Neurospora crassa OR74A: one gene and its partners. The protein of the gene in region 1 interacts with the protein of each later gene in a pairwise test. Links are inferred from orthologs where the notes say so. Each region holds a gene or a part of one and is shown on either strand. Other genes may lie near its edges. The genes, in order: NCU05991, NCU06402, NCU01119, NCU04461 and cul-1.

What was found.
Region 2: the proteins of NCU05991 (region 1) and NCU06402 interact in binary tests that used the Saccharomyces cerevisiae proteins (3 or more experiments, as listed by UniProt). The link is inferred for Neurospora crassa OR74A from reciprocal best matches to the Saccharomyces cerevisiae genes ERG27 and ERG25.
Region 3: the proteins of NCU05991 (region 1) and NCU01119 interact in binary tests that used the Saccharomyces cerevisiae proteins (3 or more experiments, as listed by UniProt). The link is inferred for Neurospora crassa OR74A from reciprocal best matches to the Saccharomyces cerevisiae genes ERG27 and ERG7.
Region 4: the proteins of NCU05991 (region 1) and NCU04461 interact in binary tests that used the Saccharomyces cerevisiae proteins (3 or more experiments, as listed by UniProt). The link is inferred for Neurospora crassa OR74A from reciprocal best matches to the Saccharomyces cerevisiae genes ERG27 and ERG28.
Region 5: the proteins of NCU05991 (region 1) and cul-1 interact in a two-hybrid assay, tested with the Saccharomyces cerevisiae proteins (2 studies listed by BioGRID). The link is inferred for Neurospora crassa OR74A from reciprocal best matches to the Saccharomyces cerevisiae genes ERG27 and CDC53.

Annotation. Positions count from the first base shown.
Region 1 is NC_026506.1:3,161,675-3,167,900, reverse strand, and holds NCU05991 (3-keto-steroid reductase), read right to left. Parts: upstream 3,718-6,226; 5' UTR 3,374-3,717; coding exon 3,303-3,373; intron 3,229-3,302; coding exon 1,872-3,228; 3' UTR 1,593-1,871; downstream 1-1,592. Other genes in the region: NCU05990 (cell surface receptor/MFS transporter), read left to right, coding at 345-1,592; NCU05992 (hypothetical protein), read left to right, coding at 3,909-5,090; NCU12126 (hypothetical protein), read left to right, coding at 5,671-5,733, 5,798-6,226. UniProt on the Saccharomyces cerevisiae protein: 3-keto-steroid reductase; part of the third module of ergosterol biosynthesis pathway that includes the late steps of the pathway. ERG27 is a catalytic component of the C-4 demethylation complex that catalyze the reduction of the keto group on the C-3.
Region 2 is NC_026504.1:2,628,682-2,634,546, forward strand, and holds NCU06402 (C-4 methylsterol oxidase), read left to right. Parts: upstream 1-2,614; 5' UTR 2,615-2,858; coding exon 2,859-2,875; intron 2,876-2,952; coding exon 2,953-3,058; exon of another isoform or gene 3,059-3,133; coding exon 3,134-3,277; intron 3,278-3,339; coding exon 3,340-3,993; 3' UTR 3,994-4,562; downstream 4,563-5,865. Other genes in the region: NCU06403 (hypothetical protein), read right to left, coding at 1-388, 483-499; NCU06401 (hypothetical protein), read right to left, coding at 4,579-4,791, 4,887-4,949, 5,583-5,865.
Region 3 is NC_026505.1:2,959,407-2,965,496, forward strand, and holds NCU01119 (lanosterol synthase), read right to left. Parts: upstream 3,571-6,090; 5' UTR 3,375-3,570; coding exon 3,129-3,374; intron 3,060-3,128; coding exon 1,347-3,059; intron 1,289-1,346; coding exon 998-1,288; 3' UTR 730-997; downstream 1-729. Other genes in the region: NCU01118 (hypothetical protein), read right to left, coding at 1-217; meiosis-specific topoisomerase Spo11, read left to right, coding at 4,172-4,544, 4,607-4,673, 4,728-4,836, 4,897-4,986, 5,034-5,114, 5,176-5,247, 5,299-5,611, 5,666-5,961. UniProt on the Saccharomyces cerevisiae protein: Lanosterol synthase; part of the third module of ergosterol biosynthesis pathway that includes the late steps of the pathway. ERG7 catalyzes the cyclization of (S)-2,3 oxidosqualene to lanosterol, a reaction that forms the sterol core.
Region 4 is NC_026504.1:3,277,921-3,283,389, reverse strand, and holds NCU04461 (transmembrane domain-containing protein), read right to left. Parts: upstream 2,788-5,469; 5' UTR 2,461-2,787; coding exon 2,395-2,460; intron 2,327-2,394; coding exon 1,865-2,326; 3' UTR 1,648-1,864; coding exon of another isoform or gene 1,424-1,647; 3' UTR 1,353-1,423; downstream 1-1,352. Other genes in the region: NCU04460 (galactose-1-phosphate uridylyltransferase), read left to right, coding at 264-364, 437-488, 551-1,352, 1,424-1,647; NCU04462 (3-ketoacyl-CoA reductase), read left to right, coding at 3,048-3,191, 3,263-4,117; NCU04463 (non-repetitive nucleoporin), read left to right, coding at 5,325-5,469. UniProt on the Saccharomyces cerevisiae protein: Part of the third module of ergosterol biosynthesis pathway that includes the late steps of the pathway.
Region 5 is NC_026504.1:5,761,288-5,767,462, forward strand, and holds the start of cul-1 (Cullin 1), read right to left. Parts: upstream 3,404-6,175; 5' UTR 2,772-3,403; coding exon 2,701-2,771; intron 2,631-2,700; coding exon 2,561-2,630; intron 2,501-2,560; coding exon 2,484-2,500; intron 2,420-2,483; coding exon 2,328-2,419; intron 2,264-2,327; coding exon 372-2,263; intron 310-371; coding exon 121-309; 3' UTR 1-120. Other genes in the region: NCU05203 (hypothetical protein), read right to left, coding at 4,385-5,481, 5,587-5,701. UniProt on the Saccharomyces cerevisiae protein: Core component of multiple cullin-RING-based SCF (SKP1-CUL1-F-box) E3 ubiquitin-protein ligase complexes which mediate the ubiquitination and subsequent proteasomal degradation of target proteins.

The DNA of each region.
Region 1 (6,226 bases):
CTCGTGTACGGGATTGGGGCCGCCCGTCCTACCTCTACGCAAACGGGTGGTGGCCACCTCTTAGCGCCCGCCACGATGTTATTGGGCCTTTTAAAGTTGATCTATACTCCCAATGTCTGTTCGTGTACGCCACTTAGACTGGACTTGATGTTGTGGTGTTGTTGTGATCATATCTCAGTTTCCGTGTCCAACATGATTTCATTCGTCGAGTTCTGGCGATGCCCTGCATGAAAACGAAATACAATGTCTCACTGAGAGAACAGAGAACAAGAACTTCCACAGATGATAAATCACTCGTCACTCCAACCCAAACCGAGAAACCTAAACTAACAATCCTTCTCCAGTGGCTCACCTTCTCCCCCGTCGCCTCCCAGGCCGCCGCCTACTTTCGCACCACCGGAACGACCATCAACTGGCTCAGCACCGCCTTCCTCTTCGCCTTCGCCTTTATCACGCCCCTGGTCATCTATGTCCTGCACCTCGGCCCCAAGTTATCCATCACCACTGCCGCTGCCCTTCTGCTCATCGGCAACTGGGTCCGCTACGGGGGCTCCCACTCTTCCTCTCCTTCAGGTGGCCACTTCGGCATCGTTATGTTCGGCCAGATCCTCATCGGGCTCGCCCAACCCTTTGTCCTAGCCGCTCCCGCCCGCTACTCGGATCTATGGTTCACCAACCGCGGCCGCGTCGCCGCCACCGCCTTGACTTCCCTCGCCAACCCGTTTGGCGCCGCGCTCGGCCAGCTCATCGTGCCATTCTGGGTCGACAAGCCATCCGACATATCGAAAATGGTTCTCTACGTCTCCATCATCTCCTCCATCTGCTCCGTTCCCGCCTTCTTCATCCCCTCCCGGCCTCCCACGCCCGCTGCCCCGTCTTCCGCCACGCCCAAATTACCTCTCCGCACTTCGGCCGCGATCCTCCTAGGCCACGCCGAATTCTGGCTCCTTTTTGTCCCCTTTGCCGTTTATGTGGGGACCTTCAACTCCATCTCCTCGCTGCTCAACCAAATCATGGAACCCCATGGCTATACCGACGAAGAAGCCGGCATCGCGGGGGCCGTGCTCATCGTTGTTGGGCTGCTTGTGTCGGCCATCACTTCGCCCATCATCGACAGGACGAAAGCGTTTTTGACTACAATCCGTGTTGCCGTCCCGCTTATTGGCATCTGCTACCTTATTTTTCTTTGGATGCCGTCCACCCACGACTCTGCCGGCCTCGCTGGGCCTTATATCATTTTGGCCATTCTGGGCGCGGCGAGTTTCAGTCTGGTGCCGGTGGTGGTGGAGTTCCTGGTGGAGGTGACGCATCCGATTAGTCCCGAGGTGACGAGCACGTTGGCGTGGAGCGGGGGGCAGGTATTGGGCGGGGTATTCATAATTATTTCGGGGGCCTTGAAGGAGGAGAAGGGAAAAGAGGGGAGGCCGGATGGGAATATGTATTGGGCATTGGTGTTTCATGCTGTGGTGGCTATGGTGACGGTTCCGGTGCCGCTTTGTTTGGGGTTGTTTGGACGGCGGGACAAGGTTAGTTTGAGGAGGGTGAGGTCGGACGATGGTAGGGGGGATGGGACGGTGGAGGGGACGGCGTGAATTTCATCTGTTCCTTGCTGAGGGTCGGGGTACGCAATGGCGTTATGTTATTTATGATGGATGATGGATGACGGTGTATGTGTTATGGCTTGTTTTATATGTACGTGGATGCACATTGTCGTTTATACCCCCTGTGACGGGTTTTGGGTACACTTATTAGGATCATTATTTTGTATATATAGGTCTCTCCCAGCTCTGCTCGTCTCAAAGCAGTGCAGGCAGGAATATCATTTACTTTTAACCACCCAATTTCATCTCGTCACTCGTCACTCGGCAGCATCACTGCCTCTCGAGAACCCTGCCCAACCTGGCCTCCCACTCCCCTCTCAACCTCTCCATCTCCTTCCAACACTCCACCCCCAACATCTCAAACTCAACCTTTTTCTCCTCCGTAAGATCCACCGCCCCGGATTTTCTCCCCACAATCTTCCTCCCAATGCGCCTCTCCCCCTTCTCATTCTTTAGCTCCTTCCTCGTTCCAACCGTCCCATCCCACCCCCACCCTTCCACTTCCGTCTTCAGGACTCTGCACTCCCCCCAGAAATCTGTGCTCGATCCCCACTTGACGTGCTCAGCGTCCACCGCATCCAAAGCCTCTTGCTCCTGCAAAGCAAGCCATACGGGCGCCACGGCACCGTTGTACCCCGTTATAGGATGCCAGGGGGAGCCGAGCCAGCGCGCAATGTACAGCACCACGCGGTACCAGAAGAACATGAAGGCGTTGAGCGGGAAGAGGGTCGTTTGGACGATGCCCGGGTGGACGAGGTAGATTCTGGGTGGGGTAGCTGGTGCGTTTGACTTGGTGGCCGGCTGAAGATACGAGTCGACAAACGGGCGGGCGGAGGGCAGGGTGGCGGTCAGAGAGAGCACGTCCGTCAGCCGCTTGGTGCTCTCGTAGGCGGCGTTGGTCTTGATGGCTTGGAAGTCGGAGAGCGATAGGTTCTTCCACCCAGGCTCGATGGAGGATTCCCAGATGATACGGCCGGGAGGAATGGTAGAGTCAAACTCGGAGCGGCTCAGCAGCGGCACGAGCTTGTGTGCCAACAGGTAGTGGCCGAAGACGTTGGCGCAAAAGACTTGACCCATTTCGGGAACCTTCTCGTCTTTAGCGTCGGGCAAGGGGTTGACGACGTGTCCGGCCGTGGCGGCCTTGAAGGTCGGCCAGGTGGTGGCTTGGACGAGACCCTTGGTAAAGATGTTGTGGAAGACCTTGGGCCAGTCGAGACCGGTCCAGCCGCCCATGCCGGCGTTGAAGATGACCGCATCGAGACGGGGTATCCTCACGTCGGTGAGGGAGGTGAAGTAGACATCGTTGGCGTCGGCGGGGCTGCTCACGGTGCCGTTGACGAGTTGTTCGGCGGCGCGGTGGACGTCGGCGAGATTGCACAAGTCTAGTTGGACGCTGAGAATGTGGATGCGCTTAGTAATAGATCGGGGATCGTAGTTGGGACCAGCACGGGAGCGGAGGATGTCGGAGGTGGTTGCGAATTCGCGGGCATGTTGGCGGAGCGCATCGATGGTTTCTTGCGACTTCTTGACGCTGCGGGTGGTGGGGATGACGACGAGGTGGGAGGTCAGGGAGCGCGTCACGAGATACTCGTCGATCAGACGTTGGCAGATAGCGAAGCCGATACCACTGAAGTTGCATTGGTTAGCATGTCATCTCTATGAGGCAGGGCATGGATAGATAGACAGATGATGATTACTTACCTGTTGGCGCCAGTTACCAAGGCGAAGAGGGTGTCCTCAGGAGGGACTGAATCCCATGGTGCCGGGGCCATGTTTAGTCGGATGTTGTGACTTGCTTGACGGACTTGCTGGCTACAATGACGGACACAAAAGAGTTGCGACAGAGGAGAGATGGGATGCTGTCACGGTACCTACGTGTCGTCGGTCTGAAAGGGGTCCCGTTCGACGCCATTATTTTGTGGAGCCTTTCCGGCCCCTGTCCGATTGGGTTGCTTGTTTCATTCATCGACTTCCAACATGCTGACACGTGATTTCAGGTGAGTTTCTGTGTCTCACAAAAGAGAATCAACGAAGGTAGTCCATGGATCAATTGTACAAGTTGTGTTGATTGACAAAAGGTAGGTATTGTTCGATGACGAAGTGGGAGAGATGCCAGTCGTGAAATCGAACTCGGGGCACCACTTCCGGGCCTGGAGCAGTTACTTGGAGAAGTCCGTGCCGTTCGGGCATGTGGTGGGGCCCGCCCGGCAGCACTTTCACTTCCACTCGGCTTCCTTCTTTCCTTTCGTTTACAACCAAACAACCTACGACAACTCGCTTCTCTTATGATAACTGTCACAAGCATGAATGGCTTCCAAAGTCCTGATATTCACTGGAGCTCCAGACAGCCGGGCGCTTGACTGGGCCACCCCGGATCTACTTGTCGAGTTCGATGAGCCCATTGCCAGCTTCATGGGCATCCTCCAACCACGGGAAGAGCAGACCATCATCCCGGCCTCTGCTCCGACTCCTGCCGCATGGAGATCCCTTAGTCTCGTGAGAGAACGTATTTTCACCGGCTACACTCAACAATATGACTCCAGCTTCCGCTTCAACCCAGCTCACGGTCTGGAAGCAGTCGATCAGCCCGATGACTTTCTTACTACCGCGTCTATATCGTCGTCATTTGACGAATCGTCCGTCGTCCATGGCGACTTGGAGTCCCAGTTCTACGAGCACTCCCTTACGTTGCATCAACATGTCCGATCCTCGTACCTGGACGCTACATTGCTTAGAGAAGCAGAGTCGCAACACTCCATCACGTCGGCAATGAGCGAGGAGGATCTGGATACGGCTTCATTCTTGGAGACCACGGTTCATGCAGTGGATGGGGACGAGAACGTCAAAGAGCCCTTGACATTCCGTGGCGGTGACCGCCTTACTGACCTCAAGGATATCCCATCGGCCGCTTACCTTGTCAAGGCACAACCCCAGACCATCACCTGCAATCTGATCGTCGGCATCATTTCCATCTCTCCGCCACGGTCGGTTAGCACTCGCTGGGGCTTAGACCGCTCCCTGGTCGAGGTGCTCGTGGGTGACGAGACCAAAGCTGGCTTCACCATCACTTTCTGGTTACCCCCTGGCTGCGAAACCGTACAGGGCAGCATACTTGAAGGACTGCGGCATAGGGATGTGGTCCTCATTCAAAACGTCGCCTTGAACGTCTTCAACAAAAAGGTCTACGGCTCCAGTCTGCGCAAGGGTCTGACCAAAGTCCACCTGCTTTTCCGGGCAAAGCTCGACGCAACAGATGCCGGCGGTCATTATGCCCCTTCGGACCTATCCGTGACAGGAACGACGCATCCTCAGCTGGACAAGACGCGGACAGTGTGGGACTGGGTGCTACGGTTCGTCGGTCCCGGACCTATCACCACCGCCGGTCCTGCGTCCGCCAGGAGAAGAAGCCCTAGAAAGAGCAAGAACAACAAAGGTGCCTTAGCCTCAGCTGCTCGACCGTGGGATCTGCCACCCCCTGATACTCAGTAGCACGCCAGGAACACGTGGGTGTTTCATACGATTTATAGAAACAGGGAGATGAAGGCGTCGTATTTTTAGTCAACATTGGGGCTGAGCTTTTGGCTTGGGACGGGTCAACCTCGGGTTCGGTACCAAACCGGACACCGTGGGCAGGGCTTAGCGGAGAAATGGATCTGTCTTGGATTCTTAGCGGTGGAGGCTCACTTCGCTATTAACCCTACGCTACAGTTAATCAGTCACGGTGTGGCTGCTGCTCACGGACCCAAGGCGCTCCAACAGCTGCGCCCTTTGTTGACACGCAATCAAAGTGATCATGAATACGCGTCCCCCAGACGCTCTGAAACTCGTCCAATAAATGCCAAACATGGAGCATTGGAGTCCTCCCGACTTGAGACAACGATAAAGTTCAATCATTTTGTGCATGTCATTCTCGGTTTGCCACCCGAATCTGACTTGTCGAGACTGACAGGGAACTTGATGTTTCGGCAATATTCTGTACAGCGTCTTACACGTAGCAGCCCCTTGCCGCCCAGCAGCCTACCGTTTTAGTAGCCCAACTTACACTACCCATCCCTCACTTTAACCCATGATGCGGAGAAGTCATCGGAAGTCCCGAAAAGGGTGTCTCGAGTGCAAGAGACGGCATATCAAGGTGAGTAGTAGCCCACTTACAAAACTCAAGACTAATCACACAGTGAGTTAACACTCATCGACAGTGCGACGAAACACGACCGCGATGCATCAACTGCCAAACCGTTGAGAGAGAATGTTCCTACCCCATTCTGCCCGGGGCCGACACTGGCAGCGATGAACTGGCCCGATCCCCGGCCGATCACCTTTCGGTAGCCGCAACCCCACCCTCCTCCGGCGCCGGGTCTGCCTCGGCCTCGGTAGCCTCTTTCTCCGGCGGTGGCTACGGTGGTTCCGCATCCACCATGCCCATGCCGGACGTCACTCCCTTCCCAGTCCCCACGGGCTACCAAGACTCGGAACCGCCATCGCCCAACGTCAACATGGTGCACATGGAGCTCCTCTACCACTTCACCACCGACGTCCTCTTCACCTTTGCTCCATTCGGCGACTCGGCCCGCTCGCTCACCATGAATCACGCCCTCGGCGAGCCGTACCTCATGTACCAGATCCTG
Region 2 (5,865 bases), on another chromosome or scaffold:
ATCGCTGAGAGGCATGATTTGGTCAAAGAAGGTGTTCATCAAGATACCGTAAGTCTGAACCGTAGCCTTGGCCACCAGGAGCCATTCGATATCACGCTCATACTGGCTCTCAACGCCGACTTCTCCCTGCTGGGCAAGTTCCTTCTCCGTGGCCAAAACCGAATCCTCCAGCAGTTGCTTGATACGAGAAGGGGGCAGAAAGGTGCCGGACCGAGAGGCAGTAGACAAAATCCTGGCTATGCGCAAGAGCTCATCGGCACGGGGTGAAGGCGGCTCGCTCACGGCCGTGAGCAACCCCGTCTCTTGTTGGTCATGCTCGGCATCCTGGGTCGAGCCGGGCTCCAGTCCCACGATCCTGTCAATGAGTACGTCCAAGTGACGCACCTTGCTGTCAAGAGAAAAGTCATGTTAACACCACCGTCCATCATCGAGACAAACTGACAAGTATGTCCTTATATGAGAGACCCCGGAAGAGTACTGACTCGGCCACGATCGCCATGGTTCGACTTGTTGGTCCCCTAACCCTGCAAACGAATGGTTCTGGACTTCGGGACAATTACAGCAGGTAATGTGATATGAGGATGGTGGAAAGTTCCGAACTGTTCGGGATTTCGTCTCGCCGGTGCTTGGCTACCAGGCCCTTTCGCCGGAAATACGAAGGGAAGGGTAAGTAAGGTTCTCGCCACAAATGGCCTCTCAGCCTCGCTCAAAGACGCGTAAAAGTGGCGATATGGAATCTCGGCAACAACACTGGAAATAGTGACTGGATATGATAAAGTGCGATCAGGCCATATGGCCGGTACCCGTACTACGCCCCCACTTTTTTGGACCTCGTAGAACTCGCACCCCCTAAAGTGGGTGCTCACGGGTACTACGGCCACACCAGTAAAACGGCCAGGTCAGGGTTAGAGGTGCAGTTTTGAGGCTCGATTCGTAGGGTAAATCACAACTTCCCAACATATAGAAATTTCTGAGAAATAAAAAGCTGGACGGATACATTACTCTATTCTAACTATCCTCTAGCTCTTTCTTTATTTTCAATTAATTATTGAAATACGTTGTGGGCGTTCACTGTTTTGGTATCGTTTATCTGATTTGCACCTCTAACCCTGGTGGCCGTTTTAGTGGTGTGGCCGTGTTATTCGTGAGCACCCACTTAGGTGGGTGCGAGTTTGCGAGTCCCAAAAAAGTGGGGGCGTAGTACGGGTACCGGATGTGAAGATTGCCGAGATGGTCGGTTCTTGTTCAAGGCTTTGGGCTGTCACTGTCAAACCCGGAAATGTGGGATGAGGTGGGGATGTTTCTTTGGGCTTGACAAGCGGGGCGGGCGGGCGTCCGAAACCCACCGAGTGATGATCGATGACAGGATTGGTAAGGCGGGGATGGGAGCCGACTGACTTGCAACTTGGTTCGGCTGCGATCCGGCCAAAGGAGAAATGCGTGGTAAGATGAGGACAGTTGAGCCTCATCAATGAATGACCTGATGAGTTGATGACCTATTGTCGGCAAGATGTACACGTGTAGTTGCCGAGGAGAGGTGCGACAGAATATTGTAGTCAGACACAACCAAATGAAGGTCGAATCGAAGCTCAAATGTCAGCCTATGATGTCCAAGGATGGATTGAAGATGCCAAGCCCAACTTTCAAAGGCGGTGACAAACTGCCGATGCCAAAAGCCTCAAGTGGTCAACCACGGCATTGAAGTCAGGGACACAACTCGTAGTTTGGCAATGTTCTCTGAGCCATTACGGAATACCAGATGTTTTGCAAACATACCAGTCTGTGAAAGCATCCACGAACGAGCTTTGGGGAAAAAAGTGACGATCCCATTAAAACGTAGCGTAGCTGCTCCGCCCGCTGTCGCCGCTCAGGTACGTACCGTATGGAAATTACCGATGCCAACTGTGCCAGTTCGCCGTCAGTGGCTCAACGTGCCAATCCAACTGGTCCATCACGCCAACCCCCCTGGCGACCTGATTTGCCTGGGTGGTGCATGGCAGGATGGCAACGAACCAGCCGAAGAAGAGGTGGGATCACGGTGTGGATGCAATCGTTCCATATCACTGGCAAACTCCGGGCAATTCGAGGTTCTCGATGGGAGATTCCATGTCAAAGGGATGGAGATGTGTGTTGTATGGTAAACTACAGTAGCCTTTTGTTGTCAGTCAGCCGACCTCTACTAGTGTACCAACCGCAGTGGTGAGGCACGGTAAGTAGTGTACAGGTATGTATGAAAAAGTTATGGTTGAGATCAATACCACACACATGCCGCCGTATCTCCGCGTAGATCACTTCAACTTCCATTCCTTATCTGATGGAACTTCGCCCTCAGTTTCCCACCTCGCGGTGACGTGGTCAGTGCCTGTCACCCAAGGAACTCAAAAGATAGGAGCCCAAGGAGGAACAATGGCACATCTCAATGCACGGCAGAGCATGGTGTTGGGATTTCATTGCTTGGCGGGCTCTCAGTTTCATTGAGCACTCGCTGAGAGTCGCCGTCCGGTCATTCGAACTTGGTGAAACAACATCCAAGAGTGGGTCCGGAAGGCGGAAACAACAGCTTCGCAGTGGGCCGATTCTGGGGTCATTCCCGCCATTGGTCAACCCAACACGTCTCTCAGGGGCTCCCGCCAAAGGACACCAAAGGCAAAAGGACTTTAAAAAATCCAGCAACCCCTAAACTTGTCAGTCGCCTTTCCCTAGCATCCCACTTGCAAGAGGACGCGGTCGATTGTTTCTTTTTCTTGCCCCGGTTTCCTCCACGCGCATAGTATCTTCTTTCCTCGCTACAGGTCCCTCCTCGCGTTCCAACACCCAGCAACACCTAATTGGAGGCGCCTATTCTCTATTCGCCCACCATGGCTTCGGCAGTCCTGTACGTTCTTGTTTACCATCGTGCGCCTGTCAACCGTGCCCAGATCGAAAGCTGACTCGTATCGTCCCGTCATCTAGTAATGCGACCGTCGCTGGCCTGAGCTCGACAGACACGTACTTCACCGTCTTGGAGGAGGTTTCCAAGTACAATGTTCAGCTGAGCTACCCCGAGAAGCTCTGGGCGGTACGCGGCCCCTGCAACCCAACCCCGAAACGCCGGGACGAGACACGAACAAGGATAGCTAACGTTGGACGATAGGCGTGGTATCTGTGGATGCAGAACGACGTTCTCGCGACCGGTCTCATGAGCTTCTTCATGCACGAGATCGTCTACTTCGGCAGGTCGCTCCCGTGGATGATCATCGATGCTCTCCCCATGTTCAACAAGTACAAGATTCAAAAAGTTAGTGCCCAGCCAAGCATGACCTGAGACTCAAAAAGCAAAAGAAACTAACAACCACATAGGAAAAACGCCCCACCTGGAGGGAACAGTTCGAGTGCGCCGGTCTCGTTCTCCTCAGCCACTGCACCGTCGAACTCCCTCAGATCTGGCTCTTCCACCCCATCGCCACCTACTTTGGTCTCGACTATGGCGTGCCCTTCCCTCCTCTTTGGAAGATGGCCCTTCACATCTGCATCTTCTTCGTCATGGAGGATGCTTGGCACTATTGGAACCACCGCGCGCTTCACTACGGCCCTCTCTACAAGGCCATCCACAAGATTCACCACACGTACAGCGCGCCCTTTGGTCTCACCGCCGAGTACGCCTCCCCCATTGAGGTTATGCTCCTCGGTATTGGTACTGTAGGATCCCCCATCCTCTGGGTTTCCATCACCAAGGACCTCCATCTCGCCACCATGTATGTCTGGATTGTCCTCCGTCTCTTCCAGGCCATCGACGCCCATTCCGGCTATGACTTCCCCTTCAGCTTGCGCCACTTCCTCCCCTTCTGGTGCGGTGCTGAGCACCACGATCTCCACCACGAGCGCTTCATCGGCAACTATGCCTCCAGCTTCCGCTGGTGGGATTACTGCCTCGACACCGAGGCCGGTGAGGAAGCTGCCAAGGCTCGCCGTGACAAGAAGCTTGCGGCCATCAAGGCCAAGAAGGCCCAGTAAATGGGTGGAGTTTATGGATCCGCTGTTATGATACCGTTCACGGTATTCGTACTGTTGTCTTCCAAGGTCTTCTATTCGACCTCACTAATTTTGGACAACGCATCACCAAACAACGGGGAAGAAGGAAGGGAAGAACCACCTAACGATGGGAATTGGTCCATGAGACAAATCAGGGAAATAAGGATTCGATAAAGGCCAGAAACGGGTTGGTTTATTTTGGCTGAAAGATAAGAAGAGAGGTGCGGTTTTGGTCGAACACGGACCAACCGATGCACACCTCCATGCAAAAAAGGCGTTTGGAAGAGGAAGAGAGTTGCGTCGCACCTTTCTTGCCGTACGCACGCGGTGGTGCAGTTGGGGAGGGGGGCATTTTCCTTCTCGCTTCTATTAATTCTTGTACATAGCTGATTCCTTCTTTCGGCGTCCTCCTCGGCAAAGCACCACCCCGTGCCCAGCCCTCTACCCCTTCCATACAAAGCCCTTTTGATAATCTAGTAATGAGAGGATCATGAAAGTAAAATACATAACCTAGATACACTTACATACACCCTTGATGACTCCTGAGTGAAGCTTCTGTCAATTACTTCACTTCTTAAGGTGCGTAGGCGTGCAGCAATCACCAGACGAAGCCACGGCCCGGTCGGTCAAGTTGGGCATGGCGCAGCTGGCGCCAGCTTCCGGCTCAGTCTCGCCAAAGTCTTTGGCCAAGGAGTCGCAGATAGTAGCTAGTTCAATGTCCAGGGATGAGAGACCTTTGGGGACGTGAGTCGTCCAGCGAATGAAGGTTGTGTTGAAGACCTAGGCAGGGGCGGTGAGATTAGAGAGGAAGATAAGAGGGAGAGGATATGTGGCAAAAGAGAGCATGTAGAGGAGAGAGAGAGGATGTGGCTTACATTGGACCATTCGGGATGGTGGTTCTTGAGCTTGCATTGCAGGGAGACGGCAGTCATAAAGTCCTAATTGGGAGGCGTCGAGATTAGGATCTTGGTTATAACTCGGAATTATCTGAGTCTCTGGGTGTGTAACACAGTCTTGCATGCCCTATGAGACACGCTCGGTATATTGTAGCCACGCAAATCGTGAGTAATAATGGGGTCGGAGCTGTGTGCAACAAGGAGAAAACGAAGAAAAGAGCAATCATATATGGGAGGGGGGGGGGTGCATAGTAAAGATAAAGCAAGAGCCCGAATTTCAAAACCCATCCAAGAGTCCAAATCGGACGAGAATAAGCACTTCAGCCAGATAGACATAGTAGAGAGGTAGGTAGGTATATCAGATACCTTATCCGTCATAACTGGCTGGCTGGCTGGCTGGCTGGCGTCGCAGCTCGGTTTCTTTCTTTCATTTGTCCGTTCGGATTTTCCTTCATCATCAACACCACTTGTGCGTGCATGTATGTGATTTGACCATCCAAATCCGAAGCAAATCCCAACAAATGCGATGACACAGATACAGGTCGGTAGGTGATTTTTGAAGAAAGAAGGATAGACAAGTAGCCATGAAAACAAAAAGGTACCACAAACACTTCAACCACCCAAACGAAGAAAAGTCATTTCACTCAACAAAAAGTAAAGTAGAACAACACATACCCAAGTCTTGGCAAAGGTCTTGAACTTAAAAGTCCTTTCGATAGCGAGACCCTGCTGTGTAAGCGTCCACCTACCACCACCACCACCGGTGGACAAAAGCTTCTCAAGTGCCGGATCAAGAACCGCTGGGTCGGAACCCTCAGAGAATTGCGGCTTCGTTTCCGAAGGCGAAGACGACATGTTGCGAGATTGTTGTTGTTGTTGCAGTGACGGGCTGCGCTGTTTTTGTTGCTGTGTTTGCTGAAGATGATTATGCGTGGTGGTGGTGATGGTGGCGGGTTTT
Region 3 (6,090 bases), on another chromosome or scaffold:
TGCCAGAGCCACGTTCGGCTGCGGCATGGTAAGCAAGCTCGGCATCGTGTAACGCTGCTTCGAGATTCTTGGCCTTTTGATGTGCCTTGGAGCGAGCTAGGAGCCACGCTGGTGAGTTGGAAGACTCGAGTGCCTTGTCGAGATTTGTGATGGCCGTGGCATGATCACCCTTCGCGAGAGCATCGATGCCCTTCTGAGCGATTGTGGTTGCTGACATTCTGGTTGAGCGTCAAACAACTGATTTTGTAGTGAGATTCTGACGTATGGGCTTGATTGGAAAGTGACTTCTACAAGAAGGTGAGCGTCTCGGGAATCTGTTGTTGGAGAGAATGGATTGCGTTTGGTTTAAAAAGGTGTCGGTTGATGGAAACGGAAAGAACCAGCTACCACTTCTTATATCAAGGGGTACGTAACTGTTAGCGCCTAGCTCCGTTCGGTCATGCATGGTGGGGTTCTTGCTTGATTCTGCCGGCAGGAGGGGGAGGGAATGCGCATGCTTCTTTCACCGCCTTCCTATATTGAATTGAATCCGCTGTTTGCCCTGTAGCGGAACTAGCAAGTGCGCACCTTGATGGCCAGGTTTATATTCGGCAGGACCCAAGCCGACGACCATCTCCAAAAGGAACTGAATTAAACAGATAGCGTTGAGTCTCATAGATTGGAAAAAAAAAAAAAAAAAAAAAAAAAAAAAAAAAAACCGTATAGGTACGAATCCGCTAATCAAAATATGAAGACAACTCTGTATTTCCAGACTGAATCTCTCCCCCATTGGGCCTCCGAGATCCCTCTGTAGTAGGGAAATTCACTGCTATAGGAAGGTCATGAAAATTGTACAGTACAGGTGTTCACCTCCACATTTCTCGGATCCCAATTTCGCGAGACATTACAGTATCTTGACATCAAATCATATGTATTAACATTATGTAGGCCATTCAGTATCATTCCTCCATTCGAACTTTGCAACGTCATCTAGCAATATCTGCATCCGGCTGAGCGTTCAAACGACCTTCTCGTCCGGATACCGTGTGGCAAACAAGCCCAGTGCCTTCAACGGAAAGCTGAACTTGTAGTTCGGGTAAGAAATCATGCAGCTCTTGTTGAAGACACCCTCGATAGCCTCTTGCCGCCACTCTCCGTTAGGCTGCTGACGGTCCATGATCAACTTGATGCCCTTCTTGATCGGGTCGTTATTGGGATATTTGGCCTTGATCAACCCAACAAGGGCCCAGGCGGTCATGACCACTTGGGATCCAGTTGGATGCTCAACGTACTCGCCCGTCTCACATGCCTGCTCTCTGGTTAGCTTCATACAAGATCTAGGATGGTCCAGGCACGAAGAGACTTACCTTGTAGCTCTCAGACCAACCACCGTCCTCCCTCTGCTTGGCGACGAGGAAATCACATCCCTTCTTGGCATATCTGCTGTTCTCATACGTTTCACCAACGCTGGCCAAACTCTCCAAAGCAAACATAGTGGCGTACGTGAAGCAAATGCCCCAATTGCCATACCAACCACCATGAGGCTTCTGATTGCTCTTAATCCACTTGACAGCGCGGGTGATGAAGTTGTCAATCTCGGCTGTGCGATGATTGGGCCAGTGTTTCTTGAAAAGCGAGAGTGTAGTGAGAACGGCCGTGGTGCATTCGGGATATTCATATTCGACCATGATGTTGCCGAACACTTCCGCGGCATTCAAAACCTCCATCCACTGGCCGGCGCGCGGAGTCTCGTAGGATGAGCAGGCGCCAGATGGGTTTTGGTAGGTAAGCATTGTGTCAACGGCGTCAAAAATACGCTGGTCATCAATCAGAGTAGGGAAGCCTGGCGTCTTTTGCAGGATGATGACGGACTTCAACGCTTCAGAGACACAATCGCTGACTGCATACCCTTGGTCCTTGTTGCTAAATGCCCAAGCACCCTTGCGGGGATGGCGATAGCACTTATCCTGATCCTTGACGTTTTCTCGAATCTGCTGGTCCTCCAGGAATTCCAATGACTTGATAAGCATCGGCCTCCAGCGTGGGTCTTCAGTCAGGCCGGCGTCCATGATAGCCTGGATTGCAAAGGCAGTGTCCCAGCATTGCACGCCGTTTGTGCCATTGCAGAGCATACCCTCGGCGTTGACCCAGAGTACCTCATCCAGCCTTTCCACATGCCTTCGTACAGAGTAGGCCCCAGGTCCGTCCCGAACATAACAGCAAACGGTATTCATCGCGGCGTTGACCGGGGCTAGGTCAGAATAATCCGTGTTTTCGTCCTCCATGTCGATGAGCTCCGACGCCCATGCCTCTGCCTTCTCTACCAAGTACTTGGTTCGGAAGACGGGATTCCAGATGTTTACAAGAAGCCAGTTGACGGTGTTGAGGAAGGCGGTTTTTGGGTGGTAGTTGTCGTTGGGATGAATGGTGTTGCGGTTTCCAGCCCAATCAATCTTGTTCCAGTCCTCCACGAACAATTCATTGCGCAACTCCCGAATCAAGTCCGTCTCCTCCGCCTGCCACTTCTTGGACCATAGGTAACTCATAGGCAGGAAGACCTGGCGCATATGAATCCACCATCTCCACGGCGCAATCGGCACCCAGTCGGGGAGAAGCCAAAGCTCGGGCGGGACAGGGTTTACGATGTCCCATTTCATAATGCCCAATACCGTGAGCCAAAATTTGGCCCAGTGTGGCGCGTAAATAGCACCTCCCATCTTATGCATTGTTGCTCGCGCTTTCACCATGACCGGATGGTCTGCCTCCACACCCACAAGGCGCAACGTCGTATAGTTCAGCGTCGTACCCAACATGGTGCTCTCGCCTTCAATGTGTAGCCCCCATCCGCCGTCGACGGGGTTCGCTCGCGCAAACAGGTAGTTCTTGATCTCGGTAGCATAGTACCAAGGGACTGGGTTCTTGGTGACGTAGCGAGCGATGACAACACCGGGGAGGAGGAACATGGGACCGCCGTACTCGCAACCCCAATGGCCCTCGGGGAGCTGGAGCTTTTCGAAGAAAGTAAGGCCGTTTCGTACCGCATCGAGGGGGTTCGTCGCCTTGGGAAGTTCGGGGAGCTCCTGTAAGGTTGGCGAGCAAGATTAGCATGTGACATCGGTATCATAGGAGCTTACGGCTGGATGTTTTACCAGAGGCATTCCCAGGAAGTACTTGTCAGCATATGACTGCGGCCATTCTTTTGCAGCCTCGTCGTCCTCGAGATAGTGCCATGTGTGTCGGCCGCCCTCACTGCTCAAACGCCAACGCGCCTTATCGGTGCTCTCCTGTAGCCGAGGCCGTTTGACATTGTGATTATCGCTGTCGGCGCTGGACCGTTTCTTGGGTGATCCGTTTGAGACCGCCGGGGCTTCAGTGGCCTGCTTCCTGGCCATCATGGACGGGCGAGGCTATTGATGGAGGGATAAGCAAGAATGAAAAAGAAAATTCACAAAGACAAAGATCGACACCAGACCAGAGGATAGGACGGATTGGGAGAGAGATACACTAGGAAGAATTGACGACGTAACAGACATCACAACATTACCCCTGATTTGGCCATGCGCCAATCCAATCGGGAGGGGTCGTGTCGTGTTCCCGTAAAGTTCAGTTGGAGCTTCGACCCAGCATTTGACAGGGCCAATGGCGCCAAGATCTTTGGGGGCCCCGAGGTGTGGGGAGAGCGGAGGGGTCTGGAGATGCAGTGGTGCAGATCGGATGGTGCCGGACCAGGCAGGTTGGTTTGCACTGTGCTGTGTAAGTCGGGTGGGTCCAGCAACGACATTTGATCCCGATTCTACTTACCTTACTTTAGTTACTTAGAGGTACCTACCTCTAAGTACTACAGTACTTATCAGACACTCGCAACCTCCAGCATGGGAAGGCGCACTTTAAAGACAGAGAACATCCGAAGCACCTTCCTGACGATGTTTGTTCTTTCTGAAGTAATTTGGTACTCACTACTATACCACCAATATCACAATTTTTCTTCTCAAACACGTTCTCATTCGAGCTTCCGCTTGTCCACCCACCCAATTGGACTCACTGCAGCTGAAGTTGGTCAAACCTTGGATGCCGTTCGACTTTTACTCTTCGCCCTGCTCTGGCTTACATCAGGTATCCCATCGGTTACAAATACAGGTGCACTATTAGACAACATTGGTTTCTCATCTTACTACTACCGTTTGTTGCAAGCATGTATTTTTGTCCGATACGCAACCAGTACCTGCATCCACCTTCTCAACCCACGGCTACCAACTCCCATGAACGGCCCTCTCGTCCTCTAGAGCAGCTTTCTCCGGTAAGAGCTAGCAGTGCTAGAGTACCTCACAACATCGTGATCGTACCACAGAGCCACTCTAGCGATAATGCCCTCACAAAGATCGAGGCCTTGTTCGAGACCATTGTGGATGCTATCAGTGTCGGAAGTCCCATTACCATACCATATCGGCGGTCGACTAACGCGCAAGTATTCGACCCGACTGCCTCTGCCTCAAATCCAAGGGATGGGCGGCACATGGATTCCGTACGCTTTCCGGGACGCAACCCGCAAGAGCTCCGAAGATTTGGTCAGTCACTCCACCAAGTTGTTGTTGGCCAAGCTTCGCAGCACTGATTATATCAAATACAGAAGCCTTGTTCCGCATCATCGAGATTTCTCACGAAGCACTCCTGTCTGGAACTCTAGTCACAAAGAGGTCCGTAATGATTGAAGGTTGATCCATTTGTAATTTTGTTGCTGACTTCGGCAGGAACATTTACTACCAAAACATGGAATTATTCAGGTCACAGAGCGTGGTGGATGACATGGTGGACAATCTTGCATTCACACTTGGAGTGGGACGTAATGATTTGAATATTGTACGTATTCGGCACTTTTCCAGACAATCTCCTCCATTCATGATGCTCATGGTGTTTCAGGTCGCCACCGCAAAGGGCCTCGTTGCTGGCCAGGTAGAACTCATCATGCGTGGCGGTTCCAAGATCGATTGTGCCGAGTCTTCCGATAGTGTAAGCATTGCTGTCCGCCTAGCAGCTCTCTTAACTGACTATTTCAGGGTGTTTTGTTGCCATCAATTAGCGCAGTTGGGAAGATCGACTTTCAGTCCGTCAAATGGCTGCTGGTCATTGAAAAGGAGGCATGATTTCGTCCACCTGTGATATCCTTAACAAGACTCTTCCACTGACGTGTTTGAGCAGGCCACCTTTCGAACACTCTCCGCTTCGCGCTACTATACAGTCTCTCGAGCAGGAAGTGGTATCTTGGTGACTGTAAGGCTATGTGACCTCTTTTGTAGCAACAACGCTGACAACTACACACAGGGAAAGGGATATCCCGACCTTGCTACACGAAAGTTCCTCGCCGCCATCCACTCGGTTCGACCGCGTTTACTCATGTTTGCCCTGGTCGACTTCGATCCCCATGGGATCTCTGTTCTACGGACTTACCAATATGGCAGCCAACGTCTGGACCACGAGGAGCGCACCAAGGTGTTTGGATTAAGATGGCTCGGAATTCGCAGCAGCGATGTCCTCTTAAACACAGTGATGACGCAAGATTGCTCCGCCAACAGTCAGGGAAGTCAATCGAGCCAAGACCTCTCAAGTCAGGAATCAATAGCTTATTCTGTGGATGGTGAGTGTATCGTCAGGCAGGTACATGACTTCGCTGACTTCTCAAACCACACAGCATTCGAAGATGAACGTCCGGCGAAGAGGCCAAGAAGTCGAAGAACGAAAAGCCATCCAAGCGACTACACAGCGTCACTCAGCGAAAGGGACAGGGAGAAAGCCGTCAGCGTTTTGCGAGACATATGCGGTACGGCGAGACTAGACGCTACAGAGCGGGAGCACAAGCTTGAATTGCAGAGAATGTTGATGCTCAACATCAAGGCGGAGATACAGGCGGTCGACGATTTTGGCGATATTACGAACTGGCTGGATGAACGACTGTTGAAACACAGCATGGATGTGAACTCGCACTGATAGATATTCGGCATAGGTTTTGGGGACATAATCTTTAGACACATGACAAACCAGGGGAAAGCAATCAAGAGATGACGAATGATGTTGCTCATCTGATGCCACCTCACACCCCACCTCCGATGCTGGGAA
Region 4 (5,469 bases), on another chromosome or scaffold:
TCATTTTCATCTTGTCTGCTACCCGGCCGTTGTACCCATAAAAACAATCCGGTAAGTGTGACCAGGTTGCCTCGGGGATGCTATCCCCGAGCATATGACTACCAATACACTTCAAAAGTGCAAAATACCAACCACCAATCTACATTATTGAACACCTCACTTATAAGAAAATTGATTTCCCAATCAACACCCTTGATTGATCGCAAGCCTTCTTTTCCAATTCCCACATTACTCTTTTCCTGAAAGCCTCTTGAAGCGCAACCATGACCGACAAAGTGCTTGACGACATCTCGCATCGTCGCTACAACCCGCTCAACGGCTCTTGGCTGCTTGTATCGCCTCACAGAACAAAGAGGCCATGGCAGTGAGTCCTCGATAGCCACACCGGAAATAAAGAAATACAGCGGGTTAGTTTGAATTGACGAGTTGCAATCAGAGGACAGCAAGAGGCTCCAGCCCTCAACAAGCTTCCTGAGTATGATCCCCAGGTGCGTAATCCCCGTCCCTTCATGACTTTATATTACTCTCACTCACTCTAACTGCAACCCAGTGCTACCTTTGCCCCGGCAACAAGCGCGCCCAAGGCGACTCCAACCCGCACTACAAAAACACATTCGCCTTCGTCAACGACTACAGCGCCGTCAAAGAGGAACAGCAAGAGTACCACCCTCGGAAGGACGCCGCTGGTGACGGCGACGATGACATTGCCTCTCTCCTCCTGCAAGCGCAGCCCGCCACCGGCCGGTGCTACGTGCTCACCTTCTCCGCCAAGCACGACACCACTTTGGCGGACATGAGCGCGACCGAGATCGTACCCGTGATCGAGACCTGGACGCGCATCTACGCCAGCCACCTGTCTGCCTCGCATCCGCTCAGGGACGCCGCCGCGCGTTCACTCAGCGAGATTCCACCTAACCCGGACGGCGAAGTCGAGCCCGCGAAAAAGCAGCAGCTGCGGTACATGCAGATCTTTGAGAACAAGGGCGCGGCCATGGGCTGCTCGAACCCGCATCCGCACTGCCAGATCTGGACGACGAGCACGCTGCCCGAGGAGCCGGGCAAGGAGCTGGCGCAGATGACCAAGTACCACCGTGAGCACAAGGGGAGGCATCTGCTGGAGGACTACGTCAAGGTGGAGATGGCCAAGGGCGAGCGTGTGGTTTGGCAGAACGACGGGTTCTTGGTCGTCTGCCCTTGGTGGGCTGTCTGGCCGTTTGAGGTGCTCGTCATTGCGAAGAGACATGTGCGCGCGCTGGTGGAGCTTACGAGCGAGGAGAGGCTGCAGTTTGCCGAGGCGGTGCAGGAGGTTACGAGAAGATATGATAACTTGTTCGAGACAAACTTTCCGTATAGTAAGTTCTACTACCCTCTGCAACTGCCCGAAGGAGAGAGAAAGGGAGAAAGGAGCTAACGGTATGAGAAGGCTCGGGTATTCATCAGGCGCCGTTGGATTGCACAGAGGAAGAGGCTGAGACGAGCTGGTTCCATATGCATTTCTACCCTCCACTTCTTCGGTCTGCTACCGTGCGCAAGTTCTTGGTCGGATACGAGTTAATGGCTGAGCCGCAGAGGGATATCACTCCGGAGCAAGCGGCTGCGCGACTCAGAGACTGCGGTGGTGAGCTCTATCGCAAGTCGTTGCAGTAGTGGAAATGTATGATGCGCTTGCTTCGCTTCTTGACCGAAAAGGGTATCAATAAGTGGTACATCTTCCACAAAGCCTATCGTCGGAGTCTTATTTCACCTAATACGCGATCGCGCTTCTTATGGTCATGATCCGAGTCCACTCGCCATTCCTTTTTGGGGGCCATGTACTGCTTCCTGCTTTGATTCCCAAAGACCAGCTGGTAGCTGCACCTGTCTTTTACTGGACGTAGTAACCATACTGCAACACCATCCACAACGTGCCGCCATACGCCGCCAAGAAGGGGAAGATCTGAGGTCCGCTGAAACGCAGCGTCTTGTAGATGAAGAACTCGCTCGTAAAGTGCACGGCGGCGATGACATGGGTCCAGATACCGAGCTTGTACAACGACTCGTTCTCGAGGTTGTAGCTCGCATAGAAGCGGATGATGCCGGCCATAAAGGTGTAGGTACCGAAGACGCGGGCCGCCAGCGGCGTGACTTGGTCCTTGGCAGCCGCCTCCTTCTTCTCCGCCTCTGAGGGCGAGACGGGCTTCAGCACGTCCACGCTGTCCTCCGGGCTGAATTTGCCCTTTGCGGGCGGCAGGGAAGGGTTGGGGACGAAACGGCCGTTGTAAAGGCGTCGCGTGTAGTGGAGAGTAGTGTAGTTTTGGAGGGCGTTTCCCATAGCTACGATGGAGACCTGGACGAAGGGCGTGTTAATTGCGAAACCATGTGAAGAGTCAGGGGGACCAGCAACCGTCAACTTACAAAGAAGAGGTAGTAGGGAAGGAGACCCTTCTCGCCCGAAGGCAGGAAAGCCTTGATAGCGTCCATTTGGTTCAAACAGTTATGAAGCGGTTTGTCGTCAGGGAAGAAAGCTATCGTAAGTCCAGGATATTTGTATTGAGAAGACCTTTTGTTGTTGAGGTGTTAGTTGCCCTTCCTGTTGCAGCTCTCCATTTGTTCCAGCGGCTCGAGGATCGGATGGAAACCACACTTCGGGCCACTCTCAAGCGCGAGAGACAGGGGTCATCGTAGCATCATGGACGCAGGTCCACGGGCATTGGACGACATTTTGGAGACAACAAACAAAATCCGCCAGGCTCCCCCTTCTCCTCTATCCATTGGCCCATGGCCAGCTCCGTCGGAGTTCAATGGCGGCGTCGAGTGAGTGATGGTTCGGCAAAAGCGGGGACAACCCAGCTGCCCAGGTCCTCTCGCCGGGGCCGCGGGGCGGGACGTCTCGAAAATCTTGGCGGCTGACACATGCAAGTGTACATAGTAGGCGAGTCGACCCCAGGTCCTCCAAAAAGTTCCCAACAATTATTTGCGACCGGACCCAACTTTGAAAGTGTCACAACTCCCCGATTCAAACCAAAGGCGTTCCTTCATCAACGACTTTCGCCGACAGTCCGTACGCAATGGATAAGGTTGCCGAGATCTGGGGCACTGTCCCTCAATATGGCCAATGGGCCCTTGCTGGCATCGGCGCCCTTTACGTCGCTACTCGCGTCGGCGCTTTCCTCCAGCTGCTCCTTAACGCTTTCATCCTGAGCGGCACCAACGTACGTCTCTTCGCAAACTTACTTGGGACTGAAGATTGTCAGGTGAATGTGGCTAACATCAACCTTGACAGCTCCGCAAGTATGGCAAGAAGGGCACCTGGGCTGTTATCACTGGTGCCTCCGATGGTCTCGGAAAGGAGTTCGCCCAGCAGCTCGCCTCCAAGGGCTTCAACCTCGTTCTCGTCTCTCGCACTCAGTCCAAGCTGGACGTCCTTGCTAGGGAGCTCGAGCTCAGATGGGATGGTTTCAAGGCCAAGACTTTCGCCATGGACTTCTCCAAGGACGACGATTCCGACTACGAGCGTCTCGCCGAGCTCATCAAGGGCCTCGACATTGGTATCTTGATCAACAACGTTGGCCAGTCCCACAGCATCCCCGTTCCTTTCCTCCAGACCGACCGCGACGAGCTCCAGAACATTGTCACCATCAACTGCCTCGGCACACTCAAGACCACCAAGGTTGTCGCTCCCATCCTCGCCCAGCGCAAGAAGGGTCTTATCCTTACCATGGGCTCTTTCGCCGGTGTTATGCCCACCCCCTACCTTGCCACCTACAGCGGCAGCAAGGCGTTCCTCCAGCACTGGAGCAGCGCTCTCTCTGCCGAGCTCAAGGACCAGGGCGTCGATGTCCACCTTGTTGTCAGCTACCTCGTTACCACTGCCATGAGCAAGATCCGCCGCACCAGCCTCCTCATCCCCAACCCCAAGCAGTTCGTCCGCGCTGCTCTCGGCAAGGTTGGCCTCAACAGCTCCGAGCCCTTTCCTAACACCTACACCCCCTGGTGGAGCCATGCTGTGTTCAAGTGGGTTGTTGAGAACACTGTCGGTGCCTACAGCTACTTTACCCTCAGGCTGAACAAGAACATGCACATCGACATCCGCAACCGCGCTCTCCGCAAGGCCGCTCGTGAAGCCAAGAAGCAGTAAGCGCATATCGCAGCTTCTAGCTACCATGTTTCTCACGTGAAGCTGGGAAGGAGCATGGACTTGTGGCATGATGGCTCTAGCCAAAAGACACATCCCATTGGCCTGCGTTACATCCACCCTTCGGACCCTGTATCTATTGTAGAGAAAATGAGAAACTTCGGCCCGTTGTTAGCAGACGAGTTCATAATGTGAGTGGAATGTACAGAAAGCTAAAAGATGATAATTGAACGATGATCATGAAGCAACCATATTTTTGCACAATGTATTTTTGGTACAGATCAAGAGCAGTTGCTGTCTGTCTATAGTTGATATTCTGAGTTGCAAATCCGACTTCTAGTGACGGGCATTCGATGACGTTCTCGACGATGATTGGACGGTTTCGACATTCTATAGGCGGTAGAAAAACATGCTTCCAAAAAGAGGTTAGCGCCTCTTCTGTGGTCCCCGCCGTCCAACTGCTCCGGCACACAGGCGCGTCCAAAATTCGCGTTTCAGGTCGCAGGTCCCAGTTGCCAGCCGCGAAACGACCGCCCTGGGCACCAATGATTCCTGCCCGGTCGCGGTAGAGGTACGTACCGCTGTCCCAGTTCTCCAGCCAAAAATTGTTTACGGTAGCCCGCCGCCGGAGCGGGCCAGCCTCTTCAATCTTCTGCTGTTCATCCACAGTCCACCTTCGACAGTGATTGCCCAATCGCGCGCAGAGCTTCCTTGCTCTCAACACCACAACAACAACTCAACCGCTTTCACCTCAAGCTGTGGTCGCTGCTCCTCGACCACGTCGCATCGTGTTGGACTTTATAGCTTCCCCTGGATTCCCAGACCTTCTTTGATGGTGGTGCAATTGTAGCAGTACACCCACCGACTGCAGCGAGCACCGCGCTCTCGACTTTGTGACCTCAAGCAACCAACCAACCAACCAACCAACTTGGGAGACCTGAAGCAAGAGGGCAAACGAAGCAAGAGCGACAACACAGCATCACAGCAAAGCGCGGAGAATCACGAAGCTGCCAGATCACGCTGCACCCTTGGAGCTCCAACTTGTGCCGACGCCAGATTTCCATCAGCCTCCATCCGCCTCGTTCTGGAGCTTCCCCTCCCCTCGACGCTCGCGACGAACTCTGAACCGCTTTTGCAGGTGGCACCGACAACCATCCCGCTGCCATCCCACCATCGTCCTGTCGGGTGTTAGCATCACATATCCGCCATCATGAATCCAGCCACACCTATGCGCCAAGTGCCCGGTGCATTCCTCAACACGCCCGCTGCGCCCAGGACCGATGATGCTCGACGCTACTTGGACTCGCTTCCTGAAAAGAACACTGCGAGGCCGGTGCTAGGAGGGTTCGGGTCCT
Region 5 (6,175 bases), on another chromosome or scaffold:
GCTTGATCATTGTTAATTTGTTTACCCCGCACGTTGTCTCTTCTGGTGATAACCGCTTCAGTACCCAGACTCCGAGGTTGTTGTATCTGTGGTTGGTCCTACCACAGCATCAGAGACCACTTAGGCAAGATACCCAAGCTCATCATCCTCCAACCGCTCCAGGTACTCTTTATCGAGCAAGATCTCAATGCACTTCTTGATGTCGCCAATCTTGGGCATGAATCGTGCCTTAATCTGGTTGATGGTTTCCGAGACAAGCTGCTGGTGCTTCATCTTCTTGCGCGCCTTCATGATACGGACGATAGCGGACTGTGTGGTTTCTGCGTTAGCTTTCTAATCAACACGCTTACTGGGTGTAGGGGGTCACACACCTGCAACAGCAACTTGCGATCCTCCTCGATCGTCTTGTTCGTCTCCGCCTCCTCCTGCTTGGTCTCACTCTTCATGCCCACATTCAAATTGATGCGATACTTCTTGTTCTTGAAGTCGTAGTTGAGCGAAAACGTCGCTCCCGGTCCAATCTTGCCACCTTCTCCACCCTCCGCGGTAAGAACCTTGGCCTTGACCAATATGCCTAGGGCGCCTTCAAGCACGTCCGCGTTGAGTTGAGTGATGCTCGCAAGCTCCTCGAACGTGTACTGGTCCTTCTCGTTGAAAAGCAGTAAGATGGCCATCTGGTACGCCGACACGCTAAAGATATAGGGCATCTTAGCGCCCTTCATATAATTCGCCTTGATGTCGCCCTTGCACAGCTGCCACAGCCAAGTGAGCTTGCGGCCTTCGTGCTTGTTCTTGTAGAAGCGGGTGAACCGATCGCAGTCGGCCGAGATCTCGGCGGGCGCAACAAAGCTGGTGTTTGGCGGAACGAGCGGCCAGAAACCGGTGCCGAGGATAGAGTACGTCGAGTCGAGCGGCTTGCCGTCCATGTTGAGGGAGGCGACGTGCTCCTTGAAGCCTGTGTTGAGATCCTTGGAGATCTGCATGTCCTGGAACATGCGTTGCAACTTGTTGGTGTATTCGAAGCCGCAGGCCTCCTTGAGCTTGGAAATCATCGAGGTCTCGGCATCGTCCGAGTTGGAGTTGCTGTGTACGAGGCGGCGCGCCAGCATGCGTGAGTAGAACTTTTGAAACACGTCCTTGTCCTGGATGTACTTGAACACAGTCATAATCTGCGTCAGCGTGTTCTCGAGCTCCGCCTCCTCCACTCCGGTGCTGCTCTTGCGGAGAAGCACGTCCGTGTACTTGGCCAGCAGTTCCGGTGACTTGTTGGAGCCCGATTTGCAGACCTCGTTCCGGTTCACAAACTCCTTGCACGCGTTGTCTAGAGATCTGGTGAAGTCAGGCTCCTTGTTGAAAGCGCGCTCAACTAACCCCTGGTACTGAGTGTGGATCTCAAGCAGAGCGTCGACGTAGACCTTGGGCTCCAGCTTGTCGGCGTCTGCAGCCACCTTGGCAACAGCCGCCAAACCAGCCTTGCGAACATGGGCCTCGAAACGAGTCCGCAGAGGCTCCAGACCGTCGGGAATGCGAGAAAGGAGGCTGTACATCCGCCTCATGTCGTCCTCTCGGTTGTTGTCCAGCAGGGCCTGGAATTCTTCACGCAACAGGGTAGAGTGCTCCGCGATGAGGGCCTGGTTGCAAGTCCTCTTCAGATGTAGGGCAATATCTGGATGCAGATACATGCGTACGCGCTCCTCCTCCTCAGCCAGGCGAGCCTCGGCCTTCTTCATGTACTCGACAACGCTATTCTCGGCCACGAACTGTTTGCTTTCGTTTTGGTAGAAGACTTTGGTCGCCTCCAGGAACGGCCTTTCAAAGTGGTACCTATACACTTCCAGCGTCGTCTTGGTGTTGTCGCCTTCGTCCATACCGAGTGAGACGAAGCTATCGACCACCTGTTTGATCTGGGTGTACTCGATGGTTTCACCGAGGCGTTGCCTTTCCACTAGCTTGAGAACGGCGTCCATGACTTTCTTAGAGACAGCCTGGAACAACACGTCACGCCACTGAACAAGGTGGAGCGTGTAGACGTCGTAAATGTTCTTTTTCCCTTCATCCATCTCGCGCTTAACCCAGTGTCTATTCAGGTACTTGAAGAGATGGTGGATATACTTGGCGGCGTTGGTGTAGCGTTGCCATTCGCGAATGTAAAAAGCTAACAAGGCCTCGTCCTTGTGAGCCTCCGCTTCGGAGACTAGGTGCTTAAGGTGGTCTGTCAGGTAGTTGGCCAGCTTCTTGTACAAGTCCTCACCAAGCAGATGGGCTGGTGCATGTTAGTCCTCTTGCTCAATCTGTTTAACGGGCAAATGCAGGGAAAGACAACATACCCCCTCTCTGGGCCCCGATTCCCGGAAGGTGATTACTCGGACTGCTGCTACCGCCGTTGGCCTTCTGCGATGTGCAGAAGTTGTGCACCGCCCTATGCCGCAGTTAGTACCATGTTGAAGGAGTGTATAGACAAATAGGGCATCCGTCCAACTAACGTGTAGATTCCCATGTACTACAAACGGCGTGTGTTAGCGGGGGGTAACGTGGACGGATGGGCGAGGAAGAAACATACACTGCTCATGTCGAGGCCTTCTTGGAGGTTGGTCATGATCTTGTTGATACTAGACTGCAAGTATGGCCAACTGATTGGCAGAGGGTCAGTACGGCTGTTTGGAGGCAGAGGGGCCAGCAGCGAAGAGAGCGAAAACATACGTGCTGTCGATACCATCACTGCCAGAAGGCTGCTGCCCGTACGCCCCCATCATCATGGTTGCCGGAGGCATGTTTGTTGTGTCTATGTGTATGTTCGTTTGAAGAGCGATCGTGCGCCGGGAATCGAAGAAAGAATGCGATGTTGGGAATAATATGCCGGCTGACAAGTGGTGGTGGACGAGGGGCGTAATCCGTGAGAAAACTCAAGCTGACCAGGTCGTGTTGGGTCGCGTGTGTTCGTCCAGAGGCTGTCGGGGGGGCAAGAACGAGTTTGATCTGGGCGACCGGTCGTTCTTGAGGTTGGAAGCGCGTTGACTGCGACCGGTGACGAAGGGTAAATGGACTGGGTGGCAGCCAGAGGCGTAGAAGTAGAAGCTCGTCCTGAGCGATGAGGCGCGCCACAGGTCTGGAAGGTCGGATGGATGGCGGGGGTCACCACGTCCTTAGGTCCGTCGGTGTCGGCTGGGAGAAGGACCGTGACCGTGAGCAGACAGACAGACGGGTTGATCGGATATCGGGTCGGGTGAAGAAAGGATTGTTCCCTTGGAGTGACGGGTGTGAGGTCGCAGCCTAGAGGTGAGGTGTAGAGGTAGGTACCTTGGCTGGTTGTTGTTGTTGTTGTTGTTGTTGTTGTGGTGGTGTTCTGACAGGTTTCAATGTTCTGTTCTGAGTGTAGGTAATCAAGTTGAAGAGTGGAGTTTCCAGTTTCCAGATTGGCCCCCCGAGGCTGCTGCTGCTGCTGCTGCTGCCGTGGTCGATGCCCGGATGATAGAGCGATGCCGTCGTTCGTTGACGGTTTTCAGGCTGCAGCGGCGTGGCAGGCATCGATTGACACTGACAGCAAGCAGCATGGAGGCTCCAGAGCAGTGGCCCCCCCGCCAGTAAACGTCCACCGCGAACACGCAAAATTGTGGGGAACCAACCATGGACGGGAAAGTGGCGGGGATGGAGACGACCTATGCCCTGCGATGCGGGACGGGCGACCATCTAGTGTACATTCCGTCATTACCGGTACATCTAACAATGGCGGCTAACAGATCTGATGAAGGTATGTACCTTATATTGATATAATACCATGTTTCTTCTCAATATGAATACAATAACCGGAACTGAAGTAATAAAATATGGGGATGGCACATATGTACAGCTGGCGGGGCATTTTACATACAAGAAAGCAGAACAGTGACAACGATGTAGCTACTTGTAGGTAGAGGTAGGTCAGCCGTTTACAGCCCCTTTAACCGCTAATGTTGTAGAAGGACACCATTGGTGGCCAGAATTCGATTAAACTGCATGTATTTTTCTGCTGGGAGCTCACGGCAGGCAATATGATATCTCCTTACCATGTCAAATCTTTCGCTATCCGTTCCCCTTTTCATGTCTCATAATGCATATACAATCGAGTAATAATCATCACCATCCTTGCTAATATCAACATCACCAACATTACCAACTGATCAAACACTATTTGTTACCGCTGTATGCTAATTTGCTAATCCAAAAACCCCACCCAAAAGAACACAGAGGCAGAACCGTGCTGAGGTATCGACAAAGTACGAGAAAATGCAAGTAAGTATGCTCCCATGCGGGTGGTTGGAGACGTTCGACGTGATTCATCTCCCCCGCTTTGTTTTTCTTTCCCTCTCAATATCCTTCGGGGCTTGACCGCCCATTATAACCGTCATTACCTTCCCCTCTGAGTCTCCAAATCATCTCCGCCTCCCAGCTTTACTACCAGCCTAAACACATTGACCGTAAAGTTGGTCAACCAGAAAAAAAGCCCAAGCAGCTGAAACGCGGCCAGCGCCTGGCTGAAATGGTCCGTGAAGCGATCTTGACTGTTATGATAAACCAACACCTCATATGCCAACGCCGTGCTGGCCGCCTTGAACACGATGAAAAACACATCCATCAGCACCAACCCGCTCTTTTGCGTCACCGGCCTTAGTCCCAATGGGCGGCCCGTGTATTCGTCCCAGAGCATGTACCCGATATAGGGAATCGCTATCGTGTCCACCGCAATCGCCACTATCGCTTGAGTCCGCTCTGACGACCCGGGCGAGATCTGTCTTATCAGGGAAAGCTCTTGGTCGACGTATCCTTCGGAATTGGAGGCTGAATGCAGGGCTCGTAATCGAGCGAGAATCTGATTCTGTAGTTCTTGCTGGTTGGAGCGCCGCCGACCTTCGAGCTGGTAGATACGAATCGCAAGGGCGAGGGCACAGATGGAGGTGATGAGTACGAGGGACCGGAAGAGTAACGGCACCAAGGGATGGCGGAGGACGTGCTGCCAGAGTCGCTTGTACAAGGCCGACCTCCTCCCGGTGCGAGACTTGTAAACGTCTTCGGATTCGGGCAGGTGCACGGGCAAATTCAAGTTTGGTTGCAGCTTCTCGAGTGTTTGGTAGTCGACCACTTCCGACTGCTCATTCGGCATGTGGCCCCACTGCGACGAGTGGATGAATTCGGACCAGGGCGAGTTGGACGTGTAGTGCGCATTCCGGTGGAGAATGACGGGTTCGTCCGTTCGGAGATGGTCCCATTTCCGGCCGCGCTCCATGCCGTCCCCGCGTCTCAGAATCCGCCGCAGTTTCATCTTGGAATCGTTCCTCCGCTCTAGCCCATCTGGTTCGTACACGAATCCATCTTTCGATACCCTTCGTGGTTCGGTTGGCGTGCCGTTGTGTTGTGGCTGGACTGTGCGTGGGGGTGGTCGGTTCAAGATCCCCCCCTGGCCGGTGGACGGTTGTCCATATCTCTCTTCATACGAGTCGATCCATGCTACATGACACGAGTTAGAATTCAGAGCAACAGAACCACATATTCTGATTTATTATTGTGAGAAAGATGATGTTGGGAAGTTGATGTCGGGTGGGGGATCCATACGAGGCAGCGTCCTTGGCTTGGGACGCAAAGGAGGAAGCAATGTGTCACCATCAGTGTTATCGGAAGAAGGAGTGGACTGGTTCGAGCGTGGAGGAGACGGATTCGCGGCCGTCATGCTGGCACTCAACACTACTTTTTTTTGTTTGTTGTTTGCCGAGCCCGTTGGGGGGTGGCTGATGGCGGGCGGCTTGGAACTAGAGTCTCGGATGTTCCAGTCGTAATGGGTAAGTTGTAGTAGCAAGTAGTAGTGTTGACGTGACGATGGGTAGAGGTAGCTCGGGATGTGCAGTCGAAGTCACTCCGGATCGGCGGCAGAGGTATTATTGTAGGTGGGGTGGGTCAGGTTACTGCACCCCTCAGGTTATCGGAGTGGCCGGGCAGCGGCAGCAGCAGCAGCCGCGCATCAGAAACGGGAATTGGCGGCAAGATGATCCGTCTTTTTATCACGCAGTTATCGGAGGGCAACGGATTGAAACCCCAAAAGGCGAGGAGGAACTGGAGGACGAAGAGTTGGCGTGGGATGGAAGTGGTAGTGCCAGTGGCGGTGCATAGCGGTGTGGTTTAGCAATTGATGTTAGTGATAGGTCAA